Linked DNA regions of Astyanax mexicanus. The protein of the gene in region 1 binds, or shares a complex with, the protein of each later gene. Links are inferred from orthologs where the notes say so. Each region holds a gene or a part of one and is shown in the gene's direction. Other genes may lie near its edges.

Region 1 (7,484 bases):
TTTTTGTGCTTCCGTGGGCCAAACTGGCACAAAAAGGTGAATAAATATTGGAACAATATAGGGCTGGCTATTAAAATCCTATACTTTTATGATACTATCTAAATTTTCTACTTTTAGTAGTTTAAAGTATAAAAACAAATTCCTAGGCATTAAGTCTAGAGGTGGTCAATATAATGATATTTTATTGTATTTAGAAACATACTTATTTAAGCTTATTGAGAATACCATCAATCATTTAAAGTGACCCAACTCCACGTTTTATTAAAAAGAGTGTAATTTAGTCCAGGATAATTAAGGACAGGATAATTAGAATAAAAATGACTGTGCTCTTATAAATTAAAATGGTAGATTTTAAGATATGTCAGTACTGACAGTACTGATATATTGTGATATATTTTTACCATATTGCCCAGGCCCCATTAAGTCCCAAATTCCACCATATAATAATCAATACTATCAGCAGCTTAGTTTGCAAATACTTAGTCTTTTCTGGTATAGACCACACCTACTTTTGATTTGCGGTTAAATAAAAAAAGTTGCTGAATTGAATTTATGTTATCGGTATCCCGTTTCGTTATCGGTATCACTACTGAAAAATTGTGAATAATACCCAGCTCTACTCCTGGTTCTTTTTTCCATCTATTCTTTTTTTCTTTTTTTGCATTTTGTGCCACTGCTGTACAAGTTCTGTCACTATATTGACTACCTGCTCAGTGACCTATACGAGAGCCATCACGCAGAGTTGGCTACATGAAGGCTTGTCTAGATGAGCTCTCAATATTAGTCTTATCTCTTCAGGGCTTCCACCTTAACTCTAATCCATTTATCCTTCTCAATGTTTTTAAAAAGTTCTAATGTTAACTGCTTTAAGTGTATTAATTTATGGTGTCTTAAAGAAGCTAAAAATGTAAAAATGTTTGCGTTTTGTGTTTGAATTTGTTTTCTTCTTGCATCACATCTGTGGATCGAATGCCGTAACGCAACATGTGAAGAGCTGAGGTGAAGTGCGCTGGTACATCTATGCAGATACATACATACATTCTCATAATTATTTTATCAAATGTTGGGAAAAGGAAGAAATTTAGTTTTGTTTTAGTTTTTTTCCTTCTCATGTATTTTAGGTATGTTTACATAAGGTACTGTAGGTTTTCTTTTTGGCTCAACCACAATAACAAATCTAGCATCTCATTCATGTGTTTATATATTTATTCTTAGATTAAAAAGATCTGTATCCACAATAAATGTTTGTCAGTTGCCTACCACAGGAAATAAAATTTCTCTTGAAAACAATCTTTCTGCTTTTTCTAAACAGTTGTATTCATTTAGTATTTGGGATTGTTTGATGGGGCACTATGTAATTTTATTTTCAACAGTCAATGTCTCAGTGTCCTTCTAAAGGGCCAACTTTTCATCATGGATAACCCATTCCAAACCTTTCAAGCCTGGTTACAGTGTCTGTTGGCATTGCGGCTTCAACTCGGCCGGGACCAGCTGTTAGCATCACTGCTAACCCACTCCAAGGGTGTGTGCCAATTGCATACTTACAAGTAATACTTATAACTAATACTAACACGTCTTTGACTCTTTAGTACAGATACAAGAGTCAAAGGTGAGTATACTACAATATTAATGATACATACTCAGAACCAGTTGTTTTTTAAGTGTGGTTATATTGGACACTTATCCTGGAAAGAGTGGAGCTACTTGTGTCTAGACCAGTATTAGGGTGGCGGAGGAAAATAATGAAGTGGAGCAGCAACAACGTTAGAAGAACTGTTAAAGCTGACTGTTGGCATCTCAGCTAATTCACTCCAAGCATTTAGAGCCTGGCTCCTGCTGTTTGATAAGTGTCCTGCCTCCACCCTTCTGAAGCTGACTTAACTTTACGGCTAACTGTAAACATGGCTGCTGACCTGGGCCAGCATTGCCAAGCCCAGCATTTAGCCAAAATATTAGGTATGTTTAGACTGTAGCTTTCAGCTAAACATTTTGTTCTGCTGTGCTGGTGGTCTAATCGTATTGTTCCATGGGGGAACCTAAGTTTCCACAGACAGAATAAATGTTCATGTACATTTGTGTGCTAGTCAGAAGATCCAACCTGCCGCATGTTAAGAATTACGAGGATGTCATGACCAAGTGCTTTGTTGTAAACACCTGCTATCAAAAATAAATAATTATGTAGTATCCAATACTGATTACTGAATACTGATGAAGTTGTTACAGAATATTGCCTGTATATTATTAAATATTTACTGAAGTTCCCTGAAAGGAAGCAGACCAAGAAAAGTGACTTTAAAAGCCGTGTACAAGTTAATCCACAGTCTGTTTTCAGTCTCAGTGCTTCATTCAGAAATACTGGGGCTTGTGGTATTGTTTGGCTCGCAGGCCTCTGATGTCACGCCTGCTGTGAGGGCGGAGACACTGAGCCACTGTGTTCCTTTTTTCTCCACCCGTATTCCAACAGACCACGCCTATTTGGCTGGGATTGGCTGATAATATCCCACTGACAGCGCTGGGATTGGCTAGTAGTTCATGCTCACCAGAGCCATGTAGAGAGCTCGAAAGCTGTCAGATGTCCACTCTTTGAAACTATATTATATATTCTGAAAATAATTATGATATATGTATTGAGTATTTGATTAACTTTAGTATTTTTTTTCTAAATATAATTTCCATTGCATACATTTTAGTAAGTCTACCCTCCAAGCTGCACTTTTCTGTTTTAGAACTATCTGAAAGGCTTTAAAACTCTTAAAAGGGCAATGTCTTTTATATTTTCTGTACTAACTCTTATTCTGTAAATAAGCAGGATATGTTTTCAGATATTAAGGAAACATGCTAACTTTAAACATTGGCATCTCCTGACAGCACTGCTTTATCCAGCTTTAAACTATCCATTAATAAAGGAAATTTCTTTGTGTTTTAGCTTCTGACCCCACCATCTGCCCATTTCCCAGTCCCATTTCCACACCCTGGGTTTGCAGATAATGTACACAACAAACAAAAAAACAGTGTCCTGGAGCCCCAGCATCCTAAAAAAGGCTTCATGACCTGAGAACAAGTAAAATGTGAGTAAATATTGTCAGTGTATTTGATAGATGGAGACAGCTTAGACCCAGAAAGACTACAAGACGAGTGCTGAGCTGTAACATTTTCTGCTATACAGGTAAGCAATGAGATATGTTATTTGTTAAACTCAGTATTATGTTATTGGGATCTGTAAAACAAATAACTCCAACTTTAGAGTGTGTATTTTTGTCAAGCTAGCTAACAGTTGACAGATTTATAAATGTGCAAACAACAAAACATTTATTACAAACATATACATAAGCTGACCAGCTTACAGAATATGATACATTGTCACTTTCCAATCGCAAAAAAGGGTTCTTAAACTTGTTTTGGTGGATTCAATAGACAACCTGGCAAACCAGATGAGTAGCCCTGCCATGATAATGACATAATCAACTTTAGCCATTCATGTAATGCTTTGTTATGCTATTCTATGACAGTGGCATTTAAATTGTCATAAAATGACAATAATATAGGGTGCTGAGTGGTTCAGCAATGTAAAGTGCTGCCACTATGGTCAGAAGATTGCTGGTTCGTATTCCTGTCATGCAGCTTGCAATCAGCTACTGGAGCCCCGAAAGAGAACAATTGGTCTCTCTCTGGGTGGGTAGATGGCACTCTTCTTCCCCACATTACTACAAAGGGTGATGGTGATCAGCACAAGGCGTCTGTGAGCTGATGTATTGGAACCGAGTTAATGCGCTCTCCTGCAAACGCACTGTAATGTTACTCAGCAATGCTGCATCAGCAGCAGATTGAAAAGGGGTGGTGGCTGACTTTACATGTATCAGAAGGCATGTGCTAGTCTTCACTCTCCTTGTTTTATACAGCTGAGTAGCAGTAGAAATTTAAAAAAAATTCTGGAATGATATATTGTCCACAAATATTTGTCTGGAGAGGGCATGGGGAGGGTAACCAAATCCAGTCTCTACCTATTTTAGTCTATTGTTCTAAAATTGTAATGCAGTGTTGTATACACTTGCTGTATTTTAGTACATTTTGTCCTTTTAAATAATTATTTCCTTTAAAGTGGGCGTGGCGGAATAAGGTGGCAACAAATATGAACCCCTCGGACTGCTCTGTCCACCCCCTTTTTTTTCATTTTCTTCCTTTTTTTCCGTTACAGTTGATGTAAATATTGTATGACAACTTACTTTTCTGTTTGTGCATATTTACAATACTGAAAAAAATTAAAAACATATATATAAAAGCATAAAATAAAATGAATAAAAATATTACAATACAAAAGTAAAACATGAACAAAAAAAGCCTGTCCGATGTGATGCCACAGACGATGCCACCAGCCAATCCGAGCACGCGACTCATCCCGGTCGCCGTACTACCAGCCAATCGTAGCTTAAGGAGGCGGGGCATGGTTCGTAACGGGTGGGGAAAAAAATAACGCACTCGTCTCGCGCAGAGTGTGAAAGGCAGGGACGGAAGATGGAGGAAAACCGTTAGACTGCCCGAAACAGGTGAGAGCCGTTAAGCTGCCGGTGCAACGGTTTTATAACTACCTGCGCGTGAAGCTTAAATATCAAATTTCTAAAATTAACGGTCTTTTCTCAGCAGCGTTTGGCAGCGCTGCGGTGAGGACGCTCCCTTCAGCGGCGAGACCAACTGGAAAAAGCATTTAAAGGAGGCTTTCTAGTTGGGTTTGGGTGATTTTTCACTTTATTGAGGTATATTTTATATTTAGTGACTGTTAAAGCGTATATATTTGACGTGAGCTTGAAACGAGCACTGCCACGGATGCCGACAAAAAAAAAAAAAACGTCTCGGTGGGAGGAGAAGCCCCGTAAAAACCTAAGGTTAGCTAGCCTCCTGCTACGCCCACTTCACGGGGTTTTTTTTCAGTCAGGGACTGTAATAACGTGATAACGTGAATGTTGGCTAACGTTAATTGTTGGACTAATGCGGAACGAACCTGGGCCCAAATGTGTGGAAAGCTTAGCTAAGTTTCTGACACGATTTTAGAATTTAACAGTAAGGAGGGTAGGCTTACTGTAAATCCATCTTATATTGAGGAAACTGTGTTATAGATAAAGACAAACTTGGCTTGAGCTTGTGTGTAGTATGGTTATACTAAAATAGAATAGAATTTAATTTGTTTATTGCCCACATGTGGAAATTTATCCTTGGTCACTCATGGCATAAAGACAATTATAGCATATAATACTAATTAGCTAACACAAATAATATACAGCTTCAGTTTCTGAATCATTATTTTCTTGATTTTGCTATTTATAGGTACATATTTAAGTAAAATGAACATTGTTGTTTTATCCTATAAACTACGTACAACATTTCTCTCAAATTCTAAATAAAAATATTGTCATTTACTGCATTTATTTGCAGAAAATGAGAAATGGCTGAAATAACAAAAATGATGTAGAGCTTTCAAACCTGAAATAATGCAAAGAAATCAAAAGTTTTAATGCAAAAAATAATGTTTCAGAAATCAGTATTTGGTGGATTAACCCTCTTTTTTAATCACAGTTTTCATGCAGCTTGGCATGTTCTCCTCCACCAGTCTTACACACTGATTTTGGATAACTTTATGCCACTCCTTCTGCCATTCCATAGGTTTCAATTTACCAAGTAGGTTTACATTTTCCAGAGCTGTATTTGAAGTAGCTTGGTAGCTAGTTAACTAGCTTTTGGCATTCCTAGCTTATACCATCTGTAGCTAGAGATACAAAATATATATTTATCAAGAGAGAAAAAGGGGGCTAGTTAGCTTAAATATTTCCTGTCACACCCAGCTTTACATTTCGTAACTCTCTCCATCCAGTGTTGGCACCATTTACGCCCCCTATGTGCAATATAGCTCTAGCCCGGGTCCTCTCCTCTCTTGCATCGCCCATCGCTCCGTAGGAAGTCTCTTTAGTGAATGGCGTCCTCACTACCAGCGCCTGCTCCGTTGTGCAGGTGGGCAAAACAGTCTACCGCAGCAGCAGCACCATAGACGATGCTCTGGAAAGCCTTGTAGCTAACTAATACACTGCAGATGCTGGGCAAGAGATCACTTCAGCTAAAGTGCTTTTATAACGCACTGTCTACTGGAGCTTAACTGTTCCTGCTATTATTTTCTGTCAAACACTGCAGGTAGAACAACAAAATCCCTTTGCCTTCACGAATGGTAAGCTGGCTTGTTAGCTGGCTGCGTCTTCATTGACTGGGTTGGTGACTGAGGTGATTTGTGATCCTATAGCTAACGTGGTTAATCTAATCAGTTTACCTTGATCGTTGTTATGTGTTGGTGGATCCTGCAGTCTGCAGTTCTGGTACCGTTGTGTCGCAGTGGGTAATTATTCAGGATTTTCAGGTACAAGCTATGTTTTGCAGGTTGGTTTGGCAGTGTTTTGCTTTTGCTTGAAAAACCCAATTAGCATCAAAATCCATATTGAATACAGATAAACTGTATCAACGTAAGTAACGCAATATGTATTTCATTTTCTTGTATTTGCTTTGGGTTGGAAAACTGCTGTCAGTGCCCTTTAAAGTAGTTTTGCAATAGGCAAGATTATAAATGACTATAAATTGGACATAATAGGAAATGGGAGAGATGTGGATCTCCCCTGTAAGTGTGTGGCTTATCTGCAGTGTCCTAATAATTCAAATGTATTGGTAAAGAAATTTTCACAACATATGTTGTCATTAAGCAAAGGAGCGTAACAGAAAACAAAAGCTTTCCTTTTTTTATCCGGATAAAGAAACCCTAAGAGTAACCAGGGGAAACCCATTTTCTGTTTTCAGAGAATTTCTAATAGCAATCATCTATAATGCAATCTGATTTTTTATTTGTACATACACTATTAGGCACAGTTGTGTATAGCACATCATTATGATTGGAGATTCTACATTGAAGGGAATTTAAATATAATCCAAGGCTAGGCTTAACCCTAGACTCTAAGACACTTTATCAGGACTACCCTTCTAATCAGGTGTATCCATTACTGACACAAGTTGTTGTTTTCTACAAACATATGTACGCTATAATGGACAAAAGTATTGGGGCATATTTTAAATGAAAAGAGTTTTAAAAATGGTTTATCCTGCTTTTTTGGATCATCTGCCTCCACTTTTCTGGGAAGACTTTCTCTAAGATTTGGGAGGTTTGCTGCTTATGAAGAATTTATTTGTCAGGGTATTGGATGATCAGCACCCCACTGCATCTCCATCTTTCCAACTAATCCCTAAAGTTTTGGGTGGAGAACCATCATTCCAGTTCCCCTTGCTCTACATTCAAATGCAGTCAGGCTATTCTGTTGGCAGTACCTATCTTCATTGCACAGCAGTAGGTGCAGATTTTGAAGCAGCTGAATTTAACCTATTTAATCAAATGAGTGTCCACAATCAGTTGGACAGATTATTTGATGTAGGAAACTTGAAGTGTTACGTCAAGAAACGGT
Region 2 (7,979 bases), on another chromosome or scaffold:
AAATGAGGGGAGGAGAGCAGAAAGGGAGAATTACATAGGAAACGAAAGAGACAGAGAGAGAGAGAGAGAGAAAGAAAGAAAGAAAGAAAGAAAGAAAGAAAGAAAGAAAGAAAGAAAGAAAGAAAAAACAAACTTGCATGCTGCTTCAATTGTGAATTGAAAAAAAAAAAAACGATACAAACTGTCCATTTAAGGAAAGCAAGGAATCTTTTCCGACCAAAACATTCTGTTTACATTCTCAGCAGTGACAGGACGTCCTCCTCTTAAAGTACTTTATCTGTTTCCTATTCTAAAGTTCTCAAGGTAATGTTGGAATTACATACTATGTCAAGGTGCTGTTGTCAAAGCTTTGCTGTTTATTTTTTTATCCCCACGAAATGAAAGAAAAAATACTATAAAAACTATATATATATATATATATATATAAATATATATAAAATCTATTCATTGATATGTTCTGGATTAATATAATTCATTTTGTATGTTGTGAAGTTGTTTGCAATATTAAATTGAAATATTTGAAGAAATAAAAATGACTATAGGCAACTGAAAAACTGAAAAAAGCAATGTCAATAAAGTCTGAGCTCTCCCTTTGCAGGTTTAAATTCAGCACAGATATCGGAAAACAGAAGATTACCTTCTATATTATTATAATATATTATTTCATATGTAAATTGGTGTTGCTTGTCAGAGATTGAGGCTAGTTTTGGACTAGTTTCCAATTCTACAGAATATTGGCCATACTTTATAGTATGTTCTGTGTCTGAAAACTAGACTTTTATTGTGAAGAGGCAGAATCCTTTATGAACCTGGTTGTGAGCAACGTTGAAACCGGAAATCCAGATTAAAGGAGAACACTGGTGTGAAATGGGCTTTTGTTATAGTGAAACATGATAATGATTATAAACTTTTGTTGAATAGCCCACCTCTGCTCACCCTCAGCATTTTGAAATACAGGGCTTTTAGTTGATGCTCCCAACTGGCTTGCAATGCTAGTGGTAGGGGCATAGTGTCGCCCATGCAAAGAAATGGCTATTTTTACAGCATTAACGAGGCTACAAGGTACTGTATGTATAAACAGTATTTTATACATATATATATATATATATATATATATATATATATATATATATATATATATAGTTTTTTAATAAAGTGTAGAGCTACTTTGAGCCTTGCTAATGATATAAACATAGCGATGCCTCTAATGCTAGCATTGTTATCCTGTTGGGAGCATCAGCTAAAAGCATTGTATTATATAATGCTAAGGGAAGATGGAGGTGGGCTATTGAACAAAAGTTCCTACTTATTAATCATATTCATCAACACAAGTCAATTCCACACCAGATTTCTCTCTTTTTTTAAGGCTAGATTAAACATTGCACCTCCTCTCAGAACGTCTTTCACACACACTACCTGACTCACCAAGGAGTTGGTGACCTGGGAGTTCCTGCAGCATGTTCAGGTAAGGACTCTTCAGCCCACGCTAGACTGAGATCTGCTCTGAAGTCGGTGGTGGTTCCCTCCAGTCACTGGTCACAGGCTATCACAGGTTTCCATCGCTGATGGAGATCATCTTTGAGGAGAACAAAAAAAGAAAGAGATCAATGCATTCAACACTCATCCACTCGACTTGATATCTGATCCATCTGCGAGCGCAAACCTGCTTTCACTCATAGATTGTTATCAGACACATGTGTCTGAAGTGTTGACACTGAGGCAGTATTGGAGATAAGGCACAATGTAGGAATAATTACTCTTTCCGTTGCTCATGAATATTTAAAAATATCAAAGGAAATCATGTTGGGGTAGTACGCTGTAAGAGGACTATAATTATGATAATGATAATACTCTATGAATTATTATTATTATTGTGCCATTTGCATTCATACTACTATTATTATTATTACATTATTACTACCGTATTACACATGTCCTTACACCTACTACCTATTCATAAGAGCTTCTATAGACTATAGATTTGCACACACCTAAAGAAGGACATCAAGGACCTTCGCATTTTTCTCAAGGACCTTCATCAATAACCCTCCTCAAACCCTCTAAATACAGGTAAAAGTGTTATTTTAAACCATGCAAACTGTGTCAGTTGCAATACTAACATAACTAATAACTAACTAATAACCTGAATAAAAATGAGAACAAATCCACTTCAGGTAGGCCAAGAGCCATTTTCACACTAAACATTACACCTCCCACTGACCAAGAGCCCGGTTCCATATCTCCTGAGTTATTTTAGTGAAGTTCAGATTGTCCCCAGTTCAAAGGCAGTGCTTGGTAAGAGCCAGCAGAGCCCTGTCCCATATGCCACAGAAATAGGTCACACTTAGCCTGTCCGTTTCTGAATTATACGGCTCTTAAAACATGGTGTCTGTGCAGTTTGCTGCTGTAATATAACACCAGAGGAACAGAGCAACAGAGCAGGATGATGGATGATGGATGAAGGCCTGGCCTGCTAAGTACCACTGGAACTGGAAGTACTGGAAATGGATTAACTCTGATGGTGAGACAGATATGATGCTATCCTGCTGATATTCCTGCGTTCTTATGATAATAACAAAATACAATTAAATTAAATAAATAACTTATCTTATTTTAGAACATTATTCTTAGATAAATCAAAAATACTAATCTAAAATCCATACAATGGAGGTAATTTAGCCTCATGGCCAGTAGATGGTAATGCTATCTAGCTAATACAACACCAGTAAACTCTCCCTGTATTCCCTATTTTAGACATTTTCTACCTAATTCCAACCATGAAACATATGCTAAAACTCTTTAATTTAGGTTCCTATCATTATCCAACGCTACAAACATGCTATAAACTGTTTTATTTTTAATAGAATCTCTATAGAGTGGGAGAATATCATCCACTTGAGAATGCTGTGTTTCAGGTGTGTCAGACACTAGAGGGCGATTCCAGTCCAAAATGAATGGGTTCCTATGGAGCAATTGAGCAAAAACACATTTTATAAACGTTTTATATATTTTTTACTGATAAATGGACTAATTTTCTCAAAACAGAGCCATATTAAATGTTTCAGCACAGCACACATCATTTTAAAAGCTTTTCAACTCTATTTATAAGAGTTTTAGCCAGTCACTCAGTACTAAGTAGCATAATGCTAGCGTCTCTACTGTTCAAAATATGTGTACTATAGAAAAATGGATCCATACAGGTAGGTTTTCTTGTCTTTCTGAGTGAAATACTTTATTTTACTTTTTAAAATGAAAGTAAAATCATGCATGAGTAGTTAGACAGTATTTGAAATATTGTTTTTAGCAGTTTAGCTCCATTCACTCCCATTCATTGAGGACTCTCTCGCGGGCTCCCTCTAGCGGTAAGATAGTAATTTGCTGATATAAAGGGTGAGATATGAAGTGGGTAGTCTCTAAATACTTGATTCAGATTAAAAGTAGATTTAAAGGCAAAGCTGTAATTAATTATAACAATATTGCCAAATCATTACAACAACAACAAGAAAAAATTACAATACAAAATACACAACAAAGCCTGCACAAAGCCTTCTCCAAATATTCTCAATGGGGTTTAGGTCTGGACACTGGTGGTCTATTCTGAAGGACAACAGGTCTAAATTTTTGTTTTGTGCCACAAATCATTAAAAAAGGAAAAGAAAATACATGATGTCCATTGTAATGATTTTTCTGATTAGGTAGCCCTATTCTGTTTTATTTTACTTAGTTGAGTATTTATTGTCATAATCTGGATTAGAACATTACTAAAATAGAGCTATTCACTGTATACCTGTACCTCTACCTCTTCACAACTTTACAACTGATGCTCTCAAACACATTAAGAGACAAGAAATTCAAGTAATTAACTCTTGACTAGATCAGCACAGCTGTTAACTGAAATACATTCCAGGTGACTCCTCATAAAGCTGACTGAGAATCTATACACACTAAAGTGTGCCATATCGTATTGCACGCAATAATATCACCAACATTTTAAATGTCTTGAACAATATAATACCCTGAAATAATGTGCCATATCACGCATCCCTAATTATCAGGGTACTACTTTTTTGCTTTTAAAAGAAAAATTCACAATGTCCTCATTTCCCTTTATCTATCTACTGGTTTATAACTGTCAAGTATCATTCATTTTACTTTAATCCTGGATATATGGAGATATTTGGAGTGCATTATTATTAGTATCATGACATTCTGGATCATAGACTTCTGTTACAAATCTCAGTTAAGGGTGTGCCATATCATATCATATGCAATCATAACAATTATTTTTAATTTTGTTCCAGTAGTGTATTCTTGAAATACATATCGCCCACCCCTAAGCTATGCTATACATTATCCCACCATCATTACATCTGAGTACAGGTACACTTTGTAACAAAATTATATTACTCCTTTTTAAAACACTAAATTATTAAAACAAACTTTTTTTATGAAAACTCTAAATTATATATATATATATATATATATATATATATATATATATATATATATATATATATATGTATATATATATATATATATATATATATATATATATATATATATATATATATATATATATATATATATATATACGTATATATATATATATATACGTATATATATATATATTTTTTTTTTTTTCAGTGTTTTCTCATATCGCCAAAAGTATCGTTATCGCAAAAATACCATGAGATGTCGTGATATTATTTTAGGGCCGTATCGCCCACCCCTAACACACACATACACAAACAATACTTTGTGTTTACAAAAGGAATGCGCATACCGTGCGCAGCGAGGATCCTGCCCGCCTCCCGCTGTAATCTCTCCGCATTAGCTAGCTTAGGTACAGGCAGCGGAGCCGCGGCGCTGAGACCGAGCCTTTATTCCGGCACTAGCGGACTAAACCCGGGTAACATGGCCTCGCTGGGGGAACCTGTGAGACTGGAAAGAGGTAAACTGTGTATTTCAGTGCTTTATTTTGTGTTTTAAAGGCTGGAGAGGCGCAGTTAGCCTGCTGTCTGAGATAAGCTTTATTCCGGGGCTGCTGGAGGCTATTAGCTAAACTAAGCTAAGCTAACCCAGGTAGCTCACTGTCAGCTGGACTAGCTTAGCTTAGTTCTAGTTCAGATTTTTGAATTAAACCAGCCCGAAAACTACTGTTTTTATCACTTTAAATATATTATAATGTTAATTAGGCACTAATATAGTATCATTTAACCAGTTCAGTCGATTACTGTTTTGGAAAATGTGGAAAAGTCTTGAAAAATTTGTGTAAACGTGAGATTTATGGTGGGATAATGTGTAAGTTAGCTGTCATTGCTATAGAATACTCTACTGCAACAAAATGAATATTATAATTTATTTGGAGATATAATAGCATATAACGGTAATATGATAGATTTTTAATTGAGGAACACAAAGTTTGTTGTAATAAATTACTTTTATTTTATTATTTTTAAACTGGTGGCATACAGTAACGTTATAGTTAGCATAGCTATTAAATGCTCTACTGCAACAAAATAAATATTAACGTTTATTTGGAGATATTGTAGCATACGCTATGATATGGCACACCTCTAATTTAAAGTTTTTATATTTAAAAAAAAAGTTTTTTTTAAATGTATTAAAATTACTCCTATTTTAAAAAAAGGAGTAATATAATTTTGTTAAACAGTATACCTGTATTCAGATGTAATGACAGTGAAAGCCTCTTGACTTGAAAATGTCTTGAAAAATGGGTATAAATTGAGTTTTAATGTATAGCATAACTTAGGGGTGGGCGATATGGTATTTTGTGGTATTTTCATGATAACTATACTCTTCGCGATAAAAATTGTATTTCAAGAATGCACTACTGCAACAAAATGAAAATAACATTTAAATATTGCTTATATGATATGATATGGTACACCCCTAACTGAGATATGAAAAAATACAAGAAATTGATCAGATTTGTAACAGAAGTCAATGATCCAGAATGTCAAGATACTAATAATGTACTCCAACTATCTCCATATATCCAGGATTAAAGTAAAATAAGTGATACTAGACAGATATAATCATTCTCTAGTACATGTATAATGGGAAATGAGAACAGTCTGAATTATATTGTGATAATTAGTGGTGGGTAATATGGCACGATATTTTAGGGTGTAATATCATTCACAATATTCAAAAAGATTTATTTGTAGATAATATTTATCTGAAATAGTTATTATGGTGGCATAATGTAAAACATACTTATAGAATGCTCTACTCAACAAAATGAATATCAGCATTTATTTAGAGATGATATAACATACGGTATAATATGCCACATCCCTAATTTATTTATTTTTTTCATTGAGAAACACATGTAGTTGTTTTTAATTAATTGCTGTTTTTAAAAATTAGTTTGAAGTGAGTTTTATAATGGGGGCTTCAATATGTGAAGTGAATTCCAGTTAAATTTGTGAGGTGGATATTTAAAGGGTTGGGTATGGAAAGGCAAGGGCCGATGTCGTCCTCAGGCTGTAAAATGCCCAGATCTCCTTTTTTTTTATTAAAAAAATCTGCTACTACTGATGCATTTAGTCTTGACTGTGAAAATATGATGCTAAATATCGTTTATATCATTTCTGATACAATATTTAATTGTATTGCCCAGCCCTGTTGTTGACTTCCCTAAATCACAAAATAACTATATAAAAAAATTCCAGAAGGATTTAGATTAATTGGTACTCCTGGTTTGTTGTCTGGTCTTGCCTCACTGAAAATATCTTTTCACAGATATCTCTCGTGCCATTGAGTTATTGGACAAGCTCCAGAGGACAGGGGAAGTACCCCCTCAGAAGCTGCAAGCCCTGCAGAGGGTTTTGCAGAGTGAATTTTGCAATGCTGTACGAGAGGTAAGCTCACCTTGAGTACTCTTCATTAACATTAGACCCACTGATATTGGATAGTTACACCCATGATTCCAGTAATATTGTTAATAAATCATAAGAAACTGGTTAAATTACTTTTTACTTTTCATTGCACGACTTTGTGTAACCATTTACAGTTATTTAGTGATGTTAAGTATACTTTATTTATTTATTTATTTATTTAGAAACTTCTCACTTTTCTGTGTTTTGTATATCTAAAAAATACAATTTTTCTAGTCTCCGCAATAACAACAAACCATCCAAATAGACCGGCCATGAAAGTTACCTTATTACCCCATTGTATAATAATTGTTTAATTATTTTTACTGACGTCAAAAAATTGTGCATTGTGTTTATTTTAATGAACCTTTATTAAACATTAAAGGTAGTCCTAATTTTTAACGAAACCAAATATTTACAACGTAAAGGAAATTGGAAAATAAAATAAAATTAAAATCAGTTATAATCAGGTTTAACTAAAATAAGTAACTTCATAAAGAAGACAATAAAAAAATTAATGGAATATGCATTAAAAAGCAAACAATAAACATTTAACTGCCGTTTGGACTAGTACATCATCTAAATAAAATGTAGTTATTTTGACAGGCCTTCCTACATTATAGTAATTATGAACTTTTTTTTTTTTTCCTTTTGAAATATAATTTTAAGAAGTTTTTTTTGTAGTACATGTAGGCTTTTAAAACATTAAGGCATTATATGCTTTAGACAAGAATTGCTCTGTCCATGGACTGAAACATGTTCCTGTATGCTGAGAATCCATTTAAGTAATTAGCCATAGGCTAAAAGGCTTTATAGGAGTGGCTATGTTTGTCCTAGAAAAGGAAAGACCAATTAAAGTCACACTAACAGCCTCTACAACCGATAGCTGTGCTGACCATTCGGTTCATCCTTTCTCAGAGAAGCGAGTCTCAGAAGACGGACGTGCCAGTGCCCATGTAGTGAGCCTAAGACTTTGCTGGCAGTTGGATCAGCTCTACCCTGCTGCTTTGTCATCTGTTGTGTTTTTTTTCTCCCTTTTTTTAAATAACCATCAACATTTATAGGCCAAAACACTGT
Region 3 (8,054 bases), on another chromosome or scaffold:
GAAAGGCTGATTGGTGCTACCTCACCGCTGTCAGTAACCTGAGGTAAGCGTGTGCTTTCTGTATGAAATTACATGGGCAACTGTATCTGCAGGTAAGAGATAACAAAAACAATACTGTAACATGCATTCCTCTTGCTCACAGTCTTCTCTTTCTCTCTCATTTTTCACTTCTTTTTTCTTTCATCCTTTCTCCCTCTCTACTTTTTGGTTTTCCTTCATTTTCCTGCTTTGTAGCTGCCTACAAGCATGCGGACGGTAAAAAGATTGACGGCCGGAGAGTTCTTGTGGATGTCGAGAGAGGTCGTACAGTGAAAGGATGGCACCCCCGTAGGCTTGGTAAGCAGTAACTGTTCTCCCGGATATAGTTGGATTTACTTTTGATTTTGTTTTAGTATCACATGCAATATGTACATCTTCTTTTTGTGTGCCTTATTTTGTACGCATTAATTTGAAAATTTACTGTTCATTTCCAGTCCATACAAGATAATTAAGCTGTGATAGTCTATCCTTGGTTGCTTTTTGAATGAGGCAGCACATTGCAACAGTATATTTAGACAAGATAACCATGTGCACCATACTTGTGCTTGGCACAGATGGAATTTTGCCTTGGGCTTTTACGCATCTATACAGTGAACATACGCAATAGTGAGTAGACTCAGAAGATGCAGTGATTTTGTGAGCACACATGCCCAGAGTGTTGGGCTGCCATTGCTGCATTGAGGGTTAAGGGTCTTGGTTAAAGGCCCAACACTGGCAGCCTTGTCGCTAGTGGCCTGGCTGTGAGCACTGAGCCAACACTGCACTCTATTTACATTTAAAAACAGTAAAATCTTATTTCAGTTTATAGGATTCAGTTTTAACCACATTCTGTGGATACAAAAAAAGAGACTTAACATAAATGTAATTCATAAATATACCTTTTCTGTATCCTTAGCTTTTGGGTGACAGCTAAATATCTCCTGTTTTGTGTACTTAATGTATTGGAACTGTGGCTTTTCTTCCTAGGTGGTGGTTTGGGTGGCACAAGAAGAGGTGGTGCGGATGTGAACATCAAACACTCTGGCAGAGATGACACATCACGCTATGATGATCGACCTATTGGGGGGTGAGTTCATGAGTGGTAGAAAAGGTGGTGGGTTAAAACTTATGATGTGGGCTAGAAATGGTCCTGCGGGCTTAGTGCTGCCACTATGATCAGGGGATCAGGTTAGAATCCCAGTCATGCAGCTTGCCATCACTGCTCTTTCCTCCGAGTGCAGCTAAGTGGGTTGGATAATTGGCATAGCTAAATTGGGGAGCAAAGAAAATGCTAGATGTTTTTATTAGGTGTGTTTGTATATCATTGTTATCTAAAAAGTATCTCCATTTTTGTCTGTTTCATGTCAAAGTTTCTTGATGAATTCTCCAATTCAACAAGACAAATTCTCCAAATCAAAAACTGTTCAAACTGAGTTACATTGAAAGCTAAAAGTTTTTGCTCTCTCCTTTAAATGTTCTCTTTGGTAGATACTTATTTCATTGGACAGCAACAGTGTGCTAAATTTTAATGTTTGTCCTCTTAGGATTGAAACCCAGTTTTTTTAATTTACCGTATTGTAACGAAGATCTACATATCCTGATTGCTGGTCTGTTCTTTTGTCATTTTAGTGACCGTGACCGCGAACGTGAACGCCACGACCGCAGTCGGGACCGTGACCGTGATAAGGAGCGCGGTGAGCGTCGCCGCTCTCGGTCCAGAGAGAGACGCAGGCGCACCAGATCTCGCGAGCGTGAAAGACCAATGGGAGCTGGTGAGGATGGTGGCGGCCGGCGAAGGGAGAGAGAGAGGGAGAGACCTGAGGGAGGGGAGGGCAAGAGCCGAGAGAGGAGCAGAGACCGCGACAGAGATAGAGAACGCAAGAGGAGAAGCAGGAGCAGGGACCGCAGGAGGGACAGGGAGAGGGGCAAGGGAGCCGAAGGAGGAGAAGAGGGCATGGGGGGTATGACTGACGGCATGGGAGAGGGAGGAGAGAGGGGGATGGAGGACCCCAGCGGAGGAGAGATGGGTCGAGGAGAGGAAGGCGGTGTGGAGGGAGAGGAAAGAAGCAGGGATAGAGACAGAGAGAGGGATCGGGATAGGGACAGGAAGAGAAGTCATAGAGATAAAGACAGGGACCGGGATAGAGAGAGGAGGAGGGACCGGGACAGAGACCGTGAGCATAAGCGAGACAGAGGCGACCGAGATCGAGGGGAGCGCAGAGAGGATAGACATGCCTCTATGCTGAACCCTGCTGGAGATTCTGAAGGATTGGGTAACGGAGCTGAAGAAGGAGAAGAATCCATCCCACCACAGTCTGAAGAAGGTTCTCAGGACGGGATGAGCATGGGCCTGAACCTGGGCATGATGGACCAAGATTCCATGCAGTCTGGAGAGGGCTACGCTTCTAATGAGAATGGTTACAAAATGGAGGCACAGGGTGACGAATACTGAATATAGTTTTTGTGGGTTAGAGTCTACACTCTAAAAACAGATGTGCTGAAAACATAGGACCAGTTTTGAAGACTTAGATCAGGCCTAAGCCTATCCCAGCTCAGTCCAAAACTACATGTAAAATCCATGCATGGCTAAACGAGTGCATATCTTGTATCTACGTGTTAAGTTAAGGACAACACATGAAACAATTAATTCAAAACTAATTGTATTTAAACAAAGAGAAAGATCACAGGAACACAGGCGGAAGTGGACATTTGTGTTAAACTTTCCATTTAAAAGTGTTAAATATTAAACAGTGGTTGTGTTCAAAATAAGAGAATGTGTTGTCCTTTACTAGATGCCCAACTGTGTTGCATAATGGAAACAAAGCATATTTTCACACATCGGCTTTGAGAGTGTAGTGTCTGTGGGATATTTCTGTTATAGTCAATCACAGGAGTCATTTCAAGGTAGGATGTATTTAAGATTTAATATGTTTTGAATTCTTCACTACTAATGTTTCTCCAGCTGCCCAACAGCAGCAGCGTGTACAGTTCTGTTTGCCTTTGTCATTATGTGGATCACACAGCAGCGGCTCTACGTCCAAAACCAAGAGAATTGTCTTTTTTAATAATAAAAAAAATAATTGTTGCCATAGGTTCACAAATTGCTCTTTTTGTAATTAGCTTTACTTGTTTTGAAAAAAATATAAACGTTATGTGAACCTGTCCCTGTTGTGGCAGTTTTGCCTTTTTTTGGGTTATGTTTTGCATCTTGATTTTCCCTAATAAATCCACATTTTTTAATGAAAATATTCGTGACTGTGTTCTATGACTTTTTAATCCTGTTTGAATACTGGGATGTGGTGATGTGTAATTTGGACTCTTGTTTAGTTTTACCTTTGGTACAGCTTGTTTAAGCAGGTGTACATGTAGTGTTTGTTTAAAACTATAGTAAAGCAGCAGACACTGAAACAGTTTCTACAGGTGTAATTTAATCTTCTATGTTGTCCAGATTACTACTACAGTTATGAATAAGAATGCCTCTTGCTGTATTATCTTTCTGTCTACCACCCCAGGCAGTTCTAACCAATGTGTGCATTTTTTTTTCCTGAGTGAAAACGAACCAAACCAAGGGGAACACTGCTGTTAACTGATTTATATTTTTAAAAAATATATTAAAAAGTCACTTCATTTCAGTAATTCAGTTCAAAATGTGAAACTCAAAGATGTAATGTGCACAGTGATCTATTTTAAGCGTTTATTTTATTGTTAATGATTATAAATGATGTTCAACCTATATAGCGCCTTTCTATAAACCCAAGGACGCTTTACAATTTGCAGGTTTTTACGTAAAAACATTTATACTCACCACTCAAACACGCACCGGTGAGAAGCGGCAGCCAGTAGTGCACAGTGCACTCTTAACCGGAAACGACTGTCCATCTGGAGGACTGCATTGGGCACTACAGCATTTACCCAGGACAGAGTGCCAATTAATACCTAAGCACAGTCATACACACACAAACTTACATACCACATGCACAAAGATCATTTTAGAGTTTCCAATTGACCTGATCTCCATGTTTTTTTTTTTTTTTTGGACTATACAAGGAAACCGAAGTCCCCGGAGGAAACCCACGCAGACACGGGGAAAACATGGAAACTCCACCCAGATGGGGATTTGAAGCTAAGACCCCAGTACTGGGAGGCGAACGTGTTACCACTAAGCCACCATGGCTCACAGTAAATAAATACCCAAAAATCAGTATCTCAAAACAATTAGAATATTATATAGGACCAATTGGGACGGTGGGCAGTTCAAAGCCCTGCTGGAAAATTTTGCGTTTCATTTGGAAATTAAGGGAGCAGAGTCTGCAGGACGAGTGGAGAGACACACAGTCCAAGCTGCTTGAGGTCTAGTGTGAAGTTTCCACAATCAGTGATGGTTAGAGAGACATGTCATCTGCTGGTGCTGAGCCACTGTGTTTTATCAAGTCCAAAGCCAGAGTAGTGTTTCTCCAAGAAAATCTAACAGCACTATATGCTTACCTCTGCTGACAACTTTAATGGAGATGCAGATTTCATTTTCCAGCAGGACTTGGCACACTTCCCAAAGTACCAATTGGTCCTATAATATAATATTCTAATTTTCTGAAACACAGATTTTTGGATTTTAATTGGCTGCAAGCCATAATCATCAACAATAAAATAAATAAACACTTAAAATCGATCACTCTGTGTGTAATACATCTATATAATATATGAGTTTTACATTTGAACTAAACTACTGAAATAAAGTAACTTTTCAACGATATTCTAATTGTTTTACAAGCACTAGTACATTAATTGTGAGGTAAATTAGCATTAGCCTCTGTGACTGAGCTGCTTAAGGAGAAATGCTAATATTTAGCCAATTTGCGGCGATCTCCGGGGAGCCAATCACGGCGCTCCGCGTCTCTGACGCGATGTGTTGCGTCATTCAGCAATACACTGCGTGCGCGGCGCGGATAGACGCAGCAGCACCGAGCCGCGACCCTCGCAGCGCGCGGAGAGAGACGGGGGCTTCCCTGCGGTACACGCTGCACCTCCCGCTCCGTAGAGACGCCGAAAGCCGCGAGCTGAACCCGAGCCGGAGCTCCGAGTCCCCATGATGTCATCCTACTACCACCCGGGGAAGGAGGCGGATATGGCGGCGATGAGCGAGCCGCTGTGCCTGGAGAGAGGTGGGGGCTGATCAGGCGCGCGCGCTGCTGCTCACTGTAGTAGCTGAGCATCATCACACACAGACCCCCGGCATCAGGGCTGGACCACGCATTCACTGTGTGTGATCCAGTGTGGCTGCAGGAGGCTGTGAGGGTCCGGGCTGTGGGGTGCAGGCAGCAGTGGGTGGTCACTCTGTGGTCAGATCTCATAGTAGCCAGTGTGTGTGTGTGTGTGTGTGTGTGTGTGTGTGTGTGTGTGTGTGTGTGTGTGAATGGACACCGCCCACATGCACCTACCTTTGGGGTGTGTGATCTGTTCTTCCTTCTTTGGGATAGTTTTCTCCTCCCCCTGTGTAAACTGTGCTGGATATAACCTAGATATCCTTCATTCATACTGCTTATATATATATGAATTAATGAATTATGTATGCAAACTGGTTTTATTTTGTACTGCTGACGTCAATATGATACATATATATATAGGACCAATGTTAAACCAATATTGTCATATATCAAATCAGTAAGAATTGATCCTATACTGTTGATGTAGCTCTGATATATGAGACCAGTATGAATTGGTCCTACACTGTAATGTTGATGTAGCTCTAATATGTATTAGACCAGTATGAATTGGCCCTGCACTCACTGTACTGAATTACATCATGCTATAGGACCAGTATAATGTGATTCTGATATATAGGACCAGTATGAATTGGTCCTACACTGCACTGTTGATGTATCACAGATATATATTGGACCAGTATAATGTACTGCTATATTGGCCCAAGATAAATTGTTGTGACATTGTACTGAATTACTGAGTCAAACCAATATTGTCATACATCAGAGCAGTATGAACTGATCCCGTACTGTAGGCTACTGTTAATGTAGTGCTAATATATATAAGACCAATATTAATTTGTCCTATACTATACTGTTGATGTATCTCTGATATATAGGACCAGTATGAATTGGCCCTATACTGTACTGTTGATGTAGCGTTAATATGTAAAGAACCAGTATTAATTGGTCCTACCCTGGACTTTTAATTTAGCACTGGTATATAGGACCAGTATGAATTGACCCTATACTCTACTGTTGATGTAGCTCTGATATATAGGACCAGTATGAATTGGCCCTATACTGTACTGCTGATGTAACGTTAATATGTAAAGAACCAGTATTAATTGGTCCTACACTGGACTTTTAATTTAGCTCTGGTATGTAGGACCAGTATGAATTGGCCCTATACTGTACTGTTGATGTAGCGTTAATATGTATAGAACCAGTATGAATTGGTCATACACTGTACTGTTGATGTAGCTCTACTCTACTCTGAACAGCTTCACTCTTTTTCATTCAGTTCTGATTCCTCTATAAACAAGCAGTCAGACACTTTTATAAACCGTTATGTGTAGAACCAACTGGTCTTTCTCTCTGTCCCTCTCTATCTCTCCCTCTCTCTCTTTCTGTCTGTCTATCTGTAGATGTGTGCAGGGTGATTGAGTTGTTGGACAGGCTGCAAAGGAGTGGTGAGCTGCCGCCTCCTAAATTGCAGGCTCTGCAGAGAGTCCTCCAGAGCAAGTTCTGCGCTGCTATCAGAGAGGTGGGCTTTCACCACACACACACATAGGGTCCACATCATATGTGATTCCTGTATAATTATTTTTTATTTGTATACTAAATACCACAATACAAATTGAAAATAACACAATAACACAGGGTAGGATATACAGCTCTGGAAAACCACAAATAATGCAGAGAAAACAAGTTCATAATCATAAAGTTTTGAGAGTTCAGAAACAAGATTTTCATGCAGTTTTCATGCATCTTGGCATGTTCTCCTCCACCAGTCTTACACACTGCTTTTGGATAACTTTATGCCACTGCTGGTGCAAAAATTCAAGCAGCTTGGTTTAATAGCTTGTGATCATCCATCTTCTTCTTATATTCCAGAGGTTTTTAGTTTGGTAAAAATCAAAGAAACTTTTTAAGTGGTCTCTTATTTTCCAGAGCTGTATGTAAAGGAAAGATGGATTTATAGATAGAACTTATATAGTAAGAAATCATAAACCCATAACCACTCTATTAGTTAATAATCAGATAAATTACGTAACTCCATAATATAATGTTTATTCTGTAATTGTCATTGTTTTTTGGACTTTATGAACCATTTGGTATGATGATAATAATAATTCATTTTAGTATTATGCTATGTTATGCTCTATCAAAATGTTATCCCATAACTGCCATTAGTTATTATGTACGCACATTAATTATTAGTATTAACATTATGCTTGGTTTTAGCTTGATCTCATCATTACCATTGTGTTTTATACACCCACTGGACTAATGGATAATGGTAATGAGGAGATCTGTATCTACAGCACTGTAATAAATGTCAGTCAAATTTAACCGTCACTAGAATAGTGAACTCCCTCAATATACCCTCCTTTATTACACTGTACTGGTTTAATAACACAAGTTAAATTAAACCTGACATTAGAAGCTGCTGTTTATCTGTTACTAATTACCTCTTCATTCTCCCCTACATCAAGCCGGATGTTGGCTGTTAGCTCCCTGTGGACAGTAAGCTGTGTGTGTGGGCAGGAGAGAAAGAGAGAGAGAGAGTTTCTGAATGCAGGGATGAAGTCACTGATTTGACTGCACTGTTCTTTCTTTCTGTCTTCTTCCCACACTTTCACAGCGACTGCTGCTCCTCCAGACCTCCTCTGTATTCCTCCCTTTCTGACTGGAGCACGTTCATTTCATTCTCTCTCTTCTCAAGCATCTCCTTCCCAGCTCCATCATTCTTCTGTCCATGTCTCACAGACACACTCTGTGTAATGACACTTTCAAGTGAAGGGTGGGCAGGATGCCAAAAACATTGAAATACAT
Region 4 (7,840 bases), on another chromosome or scaffold:
GGATTTACATTTTTCGCTTTGGAGCATTTTTCACATCAGAATTGAATTTCTCAAAACCAGTTGTTCGGTCTGCACATCATCTCATCACTTATGCAGATCACAGAAATCATTTCTCTTTCATTTTAAAGAAGCAGCCAATTATTTCATACAACTGTCTGCTGTTTCCCAAATTATCAATTGCTCCTATCATGCAGATCACAATATATTATTTGTTACGCTGCAGAACTGACAGATACAGCTAGCTATTAGTTCACTGCACATGTCCTTACATTCAAATTATTTAAATTAGTTATCAGAGCCTGTAAAGCAGATTTTATATATTTTAATCACTGACAGGGTGCCGAAAATGTTCCAGCTGAGAATGACACAGATGTACTGTATTACATGCACCACAGGACCACCACAGAGCTGGGATTATTGTTTGGGTGGTGGGTCATTATTCTCAGCACTGCAGTGATCAGCTTTGATTATCATGGTGGTGGTGGTGTATGAGGTGTTAGTGTGTGTAGTGCTGGTACAGCAGTGCTGCTGGATTTTTTAAACACCTCAGTGTCACTGCTGGACTGAGAGTAGTCCACCAACCAGCATCTCATGGGCAGCATCCTGTGGGCATTGATGAAGGTCTAGAGGATGACCAACACAAAACGTGCCACAGATGACTTCACATCTACAATGTAGAGAAACTAGTTAAAAGTGTCTAATAGAGTGGACAAAGTGTTTAAATCCCACCGCATATTAAACAACAATCAACTATTATATAACTATAAAGTGCTCCTATATGCACAGTGGAGCTAAAACATAGATTATGGATGTAGAAACAAGTAGTTAGTCACAATGTTATGCTTGATAGGTGTATAATATATACAGTACAAAATAACAATGAATGTAATTCATAAGTCATGTTGCATATTCTGGAATGTAACCTAATGGAACTGGAATAAAGTAAATCATACACCTGGATGTAGCTGGCTTTAACCTGATGAAAATACTGTATTACTGATATTCTTGTCTGTTCTGTGGTACAACAACATGATCTGCCATTTATACAAACAGTAAAATCATAAAGATAAATTATGCATTATGAAATTCCTCACTGAGTATACTGATACATGACCACATGACTAATCATTTTGACTGTCTTGTTCATAATCGATGAATAAATAACTTTTTATTCTGGTGACTGACATGTTCACTTACATGTATACATACGTTTGGGTCATGGGTAAAGGAATTTGATTGCAGTGTGTGCATTTGCTGCTGATAATTTATGTGATGCTGTTTGTACAAGCTGTTCTGAGAAGTGCCCACACTGTGTTGCAAATATTAATTCAGATTTGAGAAATGCACCAAAGTGACTGTATTTGGGCCAAACATGGACTAATGTGTCCTATGGAGAAAACTGTGACACTTGGCCCCAGATATAATAGGCATAAAAATCACCACCAAATTGGTTCCATGACAATGCCTGACCGAGATGGCGACTAGCTCGACCAAAACATGTGGCAGGTCTATGAATCCACCCCTTACACAGGTGCCATTAGACCTAGATCACCAATGCTGTTCATTTCACATGGCATTGATTTTAATGTTACAATCAGTACTGTATAGCAAATTTGTTTATACTGGTTGACCTGACTGGTTGGGCTAAACTGTCAAACCCAGATAAAACAAATAGCTTATACTGGTCAAGAACTATATATAGAGCTTTATTGCCAAATATATTAATTCACCCATTCAAAAAAAAATTTACTTCAGGTGTTCTCATTACCAGCGGCCACTGGACTGTAGAACAGTTGTGACATGTTCTCTGGAGAGACCAATCATGCTAATTTTGTCTGGCTGCATTGTGCCAAGTGTAAAGTTTGGTGGAGGGGGATTAAGGTTTTTTTTCCAGGAGTTGGGCTTGGCCACTTCCAGTGAAAGAGACTCCTCATGTTTCAGCACACCAAGAGACTTTGGAAAATGTCATGCTCCTAACTCTGCAGCAACAGTTTGGGGATGCCCTTTCCTAATCCAACCTGTCTGCACACCAGTGCTCAAAAAAAGTATTTAAAAACATGGATAAGCATGTCTGTTTTGGAAGAACTTGACTGTTTTGACCTCAAACCCAATAGAACACCTTTGGAATGAATTAGAGTGGAGACAAGAGCCAGGCTTTCTCATCCATTATCAGTACCTGGCCTCACAAATGTGTCAAAAAAAACTTATAAACACACTCCCAAACCTTGTGGAAAGCCTTTCCAGAAGAAATAAAAGTGTTATAGCTGCAGAGGGTAAGCTCACATCATTCAAACCTCTATGGGTTAAAAAAGAGCAAATATTTTTGGCAATATATTGTAAGTTAGTCAACCAGTTTAACCAAATTGGTTAAGCTGGCCAGGCTGTTTTAGCAGTCTGCACTGTTTTGGCTGTACATTACATCCAGCAAGTGACCCATGAAGAACTTGTAAATAGCTGGGCTCGTAGATAGCAGCATTTTATCCTCTTCCAGCTTACCTGCAGTGCTCCAGCCCATTAAACCTCAGCTGGATGTCCCAAACAGAACCCTGCTCTGGGGCTGCTGCTGTTCCACTCCATATAAACCCACAGATTACACCAGGACTGCCTGGACAAGAATTGCCAAAACCATCACTCATACTGAACAGGAGCAGTGGACATCCTCAGATCATTAACAGTCAATATAAACCAACAGCCTCACAATAAATGCATCATCCATATATCTCTCTGTCTTACACACCCTCTTTCTTTCTCGTTCTCTTCCTCATCATCCCTATCTCTTTCTCTTTCTTGAGCTCTCTCTCTCATTTATTCACTCTGGATGACTGCATGACATAGGGCCTGTACTTTCTAGTCTAGTACCATTAAATACAGTTTATGAAATTGTGAAGGCACCTGTATGGCACCACATCACATTTAATACACTGGTGGCACTTCTCAATTAGAGGGGCACCTAACTGAGCACATCATCATGTTCTTTCAACTGTAGGAGAACACCATTCATTCACTCTACTGGAAAGGGCACTCTTTGGGACACGTTATAATGGCACCCCTACTACTACTGAAACGGCAGACGGGCACTCACAGATGGCACTCTTTAAGACAAATTATTAACATTTCTTGATCTAACAGCACAGCAACATCATTTATTCTAAGAAGGGGCACCTAATGGGCACTCAATCACTGTTTGTCCCGACTAGATGGGCAGACAATAGGGTTATTTGTCTCCTTTTCCACTTTAGATGGCACTTTAGTGACACTTTTTTACCATGGGGTCACCAAAGGGGCAGTTGCCCACTCTCTTTAATTATTCTGTCTTTTTCTCAACCTTTATCCCACTCATATATATTGTACTTCTGTATTACTGTACTACTGTACCCATTCTCTCTATCATTACATTTATCTCTCATACTACCCCTTCTCTGTCTATACCTCTTTTTCTCATTAACCCCATCTCTTTCTCTTTTACTATTTTATTCTCCCTTTTCTTGTTATCCCCATCTTGTCTCTTCCACCCCTCTCTCTTTTTCTTACTTTCTCCATCTCTTTTACACCTTTACTCTTTTACTCTCTCATACTATATCTATTTTTCTTTCTCTTTATGATCCCCATCTCTCCTTTACCCTTTCTCTCTTAACCTTACAATATTTCTCTCTCCCACTTTCTCTCTTAATCACTATCCTTAATCCACTATTCTCATTAATTCTCTTATTTTTATCTTAATTCTCTATTCTTCATAATCCTTTTCTCACAGCCTCTTTTATTCTCTTTATTCCTATAAACAGTACCTCTCTAATCAATTCTTTCTTCCTATCACTCATCCCTATTTTTCTTTTTCTCTTACTGCCTTTTTCTCATCAACCTTTCTCTCTTTTACTCATAATTGCTATCTCTCTCTCTCTCTCTCTCTCTCTCTATCTATCTCTCTCTCAGTCAACTCTCCCTCTCTCACATAATCTCTCCCTATCTCACACTACCTTTCTGGTGTTCTCTCACTCTCGCACATTCTCACACTATTTTTTCTTTCTCTACACCCCTTTCTTACTATCATTTCATTCTCTTTTATCTTATTACCTCTTTCTCATCGCTTCCCTCTCACTCTATAATCATCATTACTATCGCTCTCTTAACGCTTTCTTCCTATCTCTCATCCTTATTTCTCTCCCTTTCTCTCTCATTCTGCACCCCTCACACTTTCTTGTGTATTCCATTTCACTTATTCCTATCTCTTTCTCATACATCTCTTAATTCCTAACGCACTCTCTCACTAACTCTCCCACTCATCCCCTCTGTCTCTCACTCTTTTTCTGTACCTCCCTGCCTCGCTCTTGTTTTTTTTACTGCTTATTCTCTTTCTTAGTCTCTCTCACTTACTCTCTCCTCCCTATCTCCATCTTTTAACTCTTTATTAATCTCTCTCCCATTCTCTCTCCTCTTCCGTCTATATTTCCCACTGTTTTTGTACACCCGTCTCTCACTATCACTCTCTCTCACTCTGTACCTCTTTTTCCCCTCACCCCTTCCTCACACTATCTCTCTGCTACTTGTTCTCTCCATCACTCTCTCTCTCTATCTTCAGTTAATTCTCACTATCTCTCTCTCATCACTCTCTCTTCAGTTCATTCTTTCTATTTCTCACCTCTCTCTCTTTAGTTCATTCTTCCTATCTCTCTCTCTCTCTCTTCATCTCTCTCTCTTCAGTTCATTCTTCCTTGCTCTCTCTCTCTATAATAACCCCTCTCTTCTCCTACTCTTCCTCTCACTCACTACTCCTCGCTCTGTTTATCCTTCTCTCACTCTCTTCACTCCCCCTCCCATCCCCTTACTCTCTCTCTCTCTCTCTCTCTCTCTCTCTCTCTCTCTCTCTCTCTCTCTCTCTCTCTCTCTCTCTCAGTGTGTGCAGTAATAGAAGGCAGACATGGCGACGGTGGTCCAGCCGCTGACTCTGGAGCGAGGTAAGCGCGCGATGGATCCGCTAGATCCGGGCTCTAATTCGCTTAGATTCGGTTTATTTTATCTCCCGTGTAAACGCTTTAATTCCCGTATAGTTCGTATGAACGGCGTTTTTTATGGAGTGTGTTGCGCCGCGCGCTCCGGCTCGAGCCGCCGTGCTCGCGCTCGCTCGCTCGCTCGGTGTGGTGTGTGTAGTCTATCTGTCAGTAAACCAGGCTGAATTACTCCCACCTGTGCACACACCCGCGCGCGCTTTACTCGCGTGCACGCGCGTCCTTTACTCTCCGCTGTTTCTGTTTACTCCTGTACCTGAAGTTCGGGTCCAAACAATGGAGGGAGGGGGGTACAGGCAGGTGCTTCTGCCGCGCACGAGCTCCCAGACCCCCCTGTCATCATGCGCGAGCTGCGCGTGCACGCAGACGTTGCACAGCATCACTGGAGTAATGATGAGATCTGAGCTCGTGCTTCTGTTTTATGTTTTATGTTGTTTTGCGTACAATTCTCTAAAGGGGCTGCTGACTATGTGTTTCAGTGGAGTATTATGGGATGCGCGCGCGCGCGTGTGTGTTTGTGTGTTTTGTGTGTGTGTGCACTGTGCATGCACTATAGCCCCTAACTGGGAGTTAAGCCAGAATGGGTACGATGGTGTGAGTGTGCTGTGTTTCTGGTTGTACTGGTGTTCCTCAGGCCGATCTCTAATTGCCATAATCTTTAAATGGCCATAATAGTGTGTAGTCAAAATCTTCCACGATTAATTCCGGTCGATATGATATAATTATTATATGAATATGAACAGTAAAAAGCCTCCACCTGTGGTGCTCATCACTCAGTGACACTGCCAGGCTACAGTACTCTGTAGTGTTCTGCCCTTTGTGCTCAGCTTGAATTCAGTGAACTGACAGCAGCTCCCTGTTATGGACATCAGTCAGAGACAGATGTAAAATACTGTATGTCTCTCACAATCCTAGACCAGTATTTTATATTTTGATTTACCTTTATTCAACTAAAAATTATTGATAATTAGTAGAAGACGGTCACACTGATTATGGCTATAGTTCATGCTAATTGTAGTTATTGTAGTGTCCCGGCTAACTGGTGATTCTCATTGTTATTCTGAGCTGGATTATTCACTGATTTGATGGATATCTGATATGTAGATTATATCTGTATGATGCACGGTTGTTCAGTTATGAAGCTTAATAAGTTAATAGGTTATAAGTTTGGGGCTTAATGCGGGCCTCAGACGGGTAAAAATTATTTGACTGTTATTTTATAATAATTCATATAATAATAAATATTGATATTCAATTATTGTCCATTCCTAGTGTATACTGTGTAACTGGTGGTAGTGATGTGGTCAGCAGGCTAGGCTGAGCAAGGCTGGGATATTAATAGAGTAATGGGATAGCACTGGCCCATGGTATAACTGGTATGGCAGTAGCCCTTGCCCTGGTATGAGAGGTATGCTGGGTTATGGTGTTTTAAGGCTGTCTGGGTTAGTGATGGATGGTATAATGTGCTGTTAGCACACACTGAAGTGAGTGGCTCAGTAGGTTAGAGTGCTGCAGCCCTGATTTTATTATACTGCTTTAATGGCCTGTACCCTACATTTCTCTACTTGAGTATTTCTGATCTTTTTATAACATGTACTCAGTCACAATTCACATTTACACAACACACAGACTTTATGTTTATGTGAAGACTTTACACAATTTACTGAATTTAATATAGGGCAAAAATATCAAATATGACACTGAAGCTGTATTATTTTTTTGAAAAAACTGCATAAAGCTAATATAGGCTTTACAATTATACAGTACAGTACACCCCTCACATTTTAGTAGATATTTTCTTATATTTTTTATGGGACAACACTGAAGATATGATATTTTAAAACAATGTAAAGTAGTCAGTGTACAGCTTGTATAACCAGGGCTCTCAAGTTTTAAAGTGGTGGTAGTGTTCGCAGGTCTTCTTCAGTTGTACGAAGTTGTGGATGCGCGCTGTTCTTCTTCAGTTGTACAACGGGGGGAGCTGGGTGGGATTGGTGGATGTGCAAGTGTGGGCAGGTTTGCCGCCGTTCTCCTTCAGTTGTTCACCGAGTGTTTCAGAACTTTTGAATTGGACAGTTCTTCGCACCACCCTCTTTGACTAGGTCTGCCAAACAACAGAGTGATTTTTATTCTGATTGGCTCAACAAGAGTACATTATAATATACAGCCGATGGATTGGTAAGCGTGAGAAATACCATGTGTGGTGTGTGAGCGTGTGAACTCGCTGAGGTGCTCAAAGCGTGAGACTTGAGAACACTGTGTATAACAGTGTAAATTTGCTGTAACTTAATTCAATAGTCTGAACCACTAGAAACAAAAGTGAGTATATCTCTAAGTCAAAATAGCAAAATTGTGCCTAAAGCACCAACATTTTATGTGGCCACCAATATTTCCCAGCACCTCCTTAATCCTCTTGGTCATCGCATTCCTCAGAGCTTCCCAGATCGCCACTGCAATCCTCTTCCACTCCTCCATGACGAAATCATAAATCTAGCCTTTAGAGACCTTGCAATCCTCCACCTTTAATTTAAGGATGCCCCAGATGTGCTCAATTGAGTTTAGGTCTTGAGACATACTTGGCCAGTCCATTACCTTTTTCTTCAGCTTCCTCAGCGAGACAGTTGTCATCTTGGAGTTGTGTTTGAGATTGTTATTGTGTTGGAAATCTGCCATGTGGCCCAGTTTTCAAAGGGAGGAAATCATGCTCTGCTTCAGAATGTCACAGTACATTGAATTCAGCTTTCCAGTGTTGGCAGCACCAGGCCATGCATGTATCCCATGTTCTTGGACTGCTTGTCTTCAGCAAACTGTTTGTTGGCTTTCTTGTGCATCAGCTT

Evidence for each region.
Region 2: apba1a (region 1) and lin7c share a complex: the UniProt entries of both Homo sapiens proteins name them as parts of the brain-specific heterotrimeric complex. The link is inferred for Astyanax mexicanus from reciprocal best matches to the Homo sapiens genes APBA1 and LIN7C.
Region 3: apba1a (region 1) and lin7b share a complex: the UniProt entries of both Homo sapiens proteins name them as parts of the brain-specific heterotrimeric complex. The link is inferred for Astyanax mexicanus from reciprocal best matches to the Homo sapiens genes APBA1 and LIN7B.
Region 4: apba1a (region 1) and lin7a share a complex: the UniProt entries of both Homo sapiens proteins name them as parts of the brain-specific heterotrimeric complex. The link is inferred for Astyanax mexicanus from reciprocal best matches to the Homo sapiens genes APBA1 and LIN7A.

Annotation. Positions count from the first base shown.
Region 1 is NC_064429.1:24,135,158-24,142,641, reverse strand, and holds the start of apba1a (amyloid-beta A4 precursor protein-binding family A member 1), read left to right. Parts: upstream 1-4,441; 5' UTR 4,442-4,544; intron 4,545-7,484. UniProt on the Homo sapiens protein: Putative function in synaptic vesicle exocytosis by binding to Munc18-1, an essential component of the synaptic vesicle exocytotic machinery. May modulate processing of the amyloid-beta precursor protein (APP) and hence formation of APP-beta.
Region 2 is NC_064430.1:6,993,491-7,001,469, reverse strand, and holds the start of lin7c (protein lin-7 homolog C), read left to right. Parts: upstream 1-4,782; 5' UTR 4,783-4,914; coding exon 4,915-4,951; intron 4,952-6,768; coding exon 6,769-6,887; intron 6,888-7,979. UniProt on the Homo sapiens protein: Plays a role in establishing and maintaining the asymmetric distribution of channels and receptors at the plasma membrane of polarized cells.
Region 3 is NC_064426.1:20,923,038-20,931,091, reverse strand, and holds the start of lin7b (protein lin-7 homolog B), read left to right. Parts: upstream 1-4,927; 5' UTR 4,928-5,101; coding exon 5,102-5,177; intron 5,178-6,643; coding exon 6,644-6,762; intron 6,763-8,054. Other genes in the region: snrnp70 (U1 small nuclear ribonucleoprotein 70 kDa), read left to right, coding at 235-336, 1,006-1,105, 1,648-2,470. UniProt on the Homo sapiens protein: Plays a role in establishing and maintaining the asymmetric distribution of channels and receptors at the plasma membrane of polarized cells.
Region 4 is NC_064409.1:24,819,326-24,827,165, forward strand, and holds the start of lin7a (protein lin-7 homolog A), read left to right. Parts: upstream 1-4,819; 5' UTR 4,820-4,915; coding exon 4,916-4,952; intron 4,953-7,840. UniProt on the Homo sapiens protein: Plays a role in establishing and maintaining the asymmetric distribution of channels and receptors at the plasma membrane of polarized cells.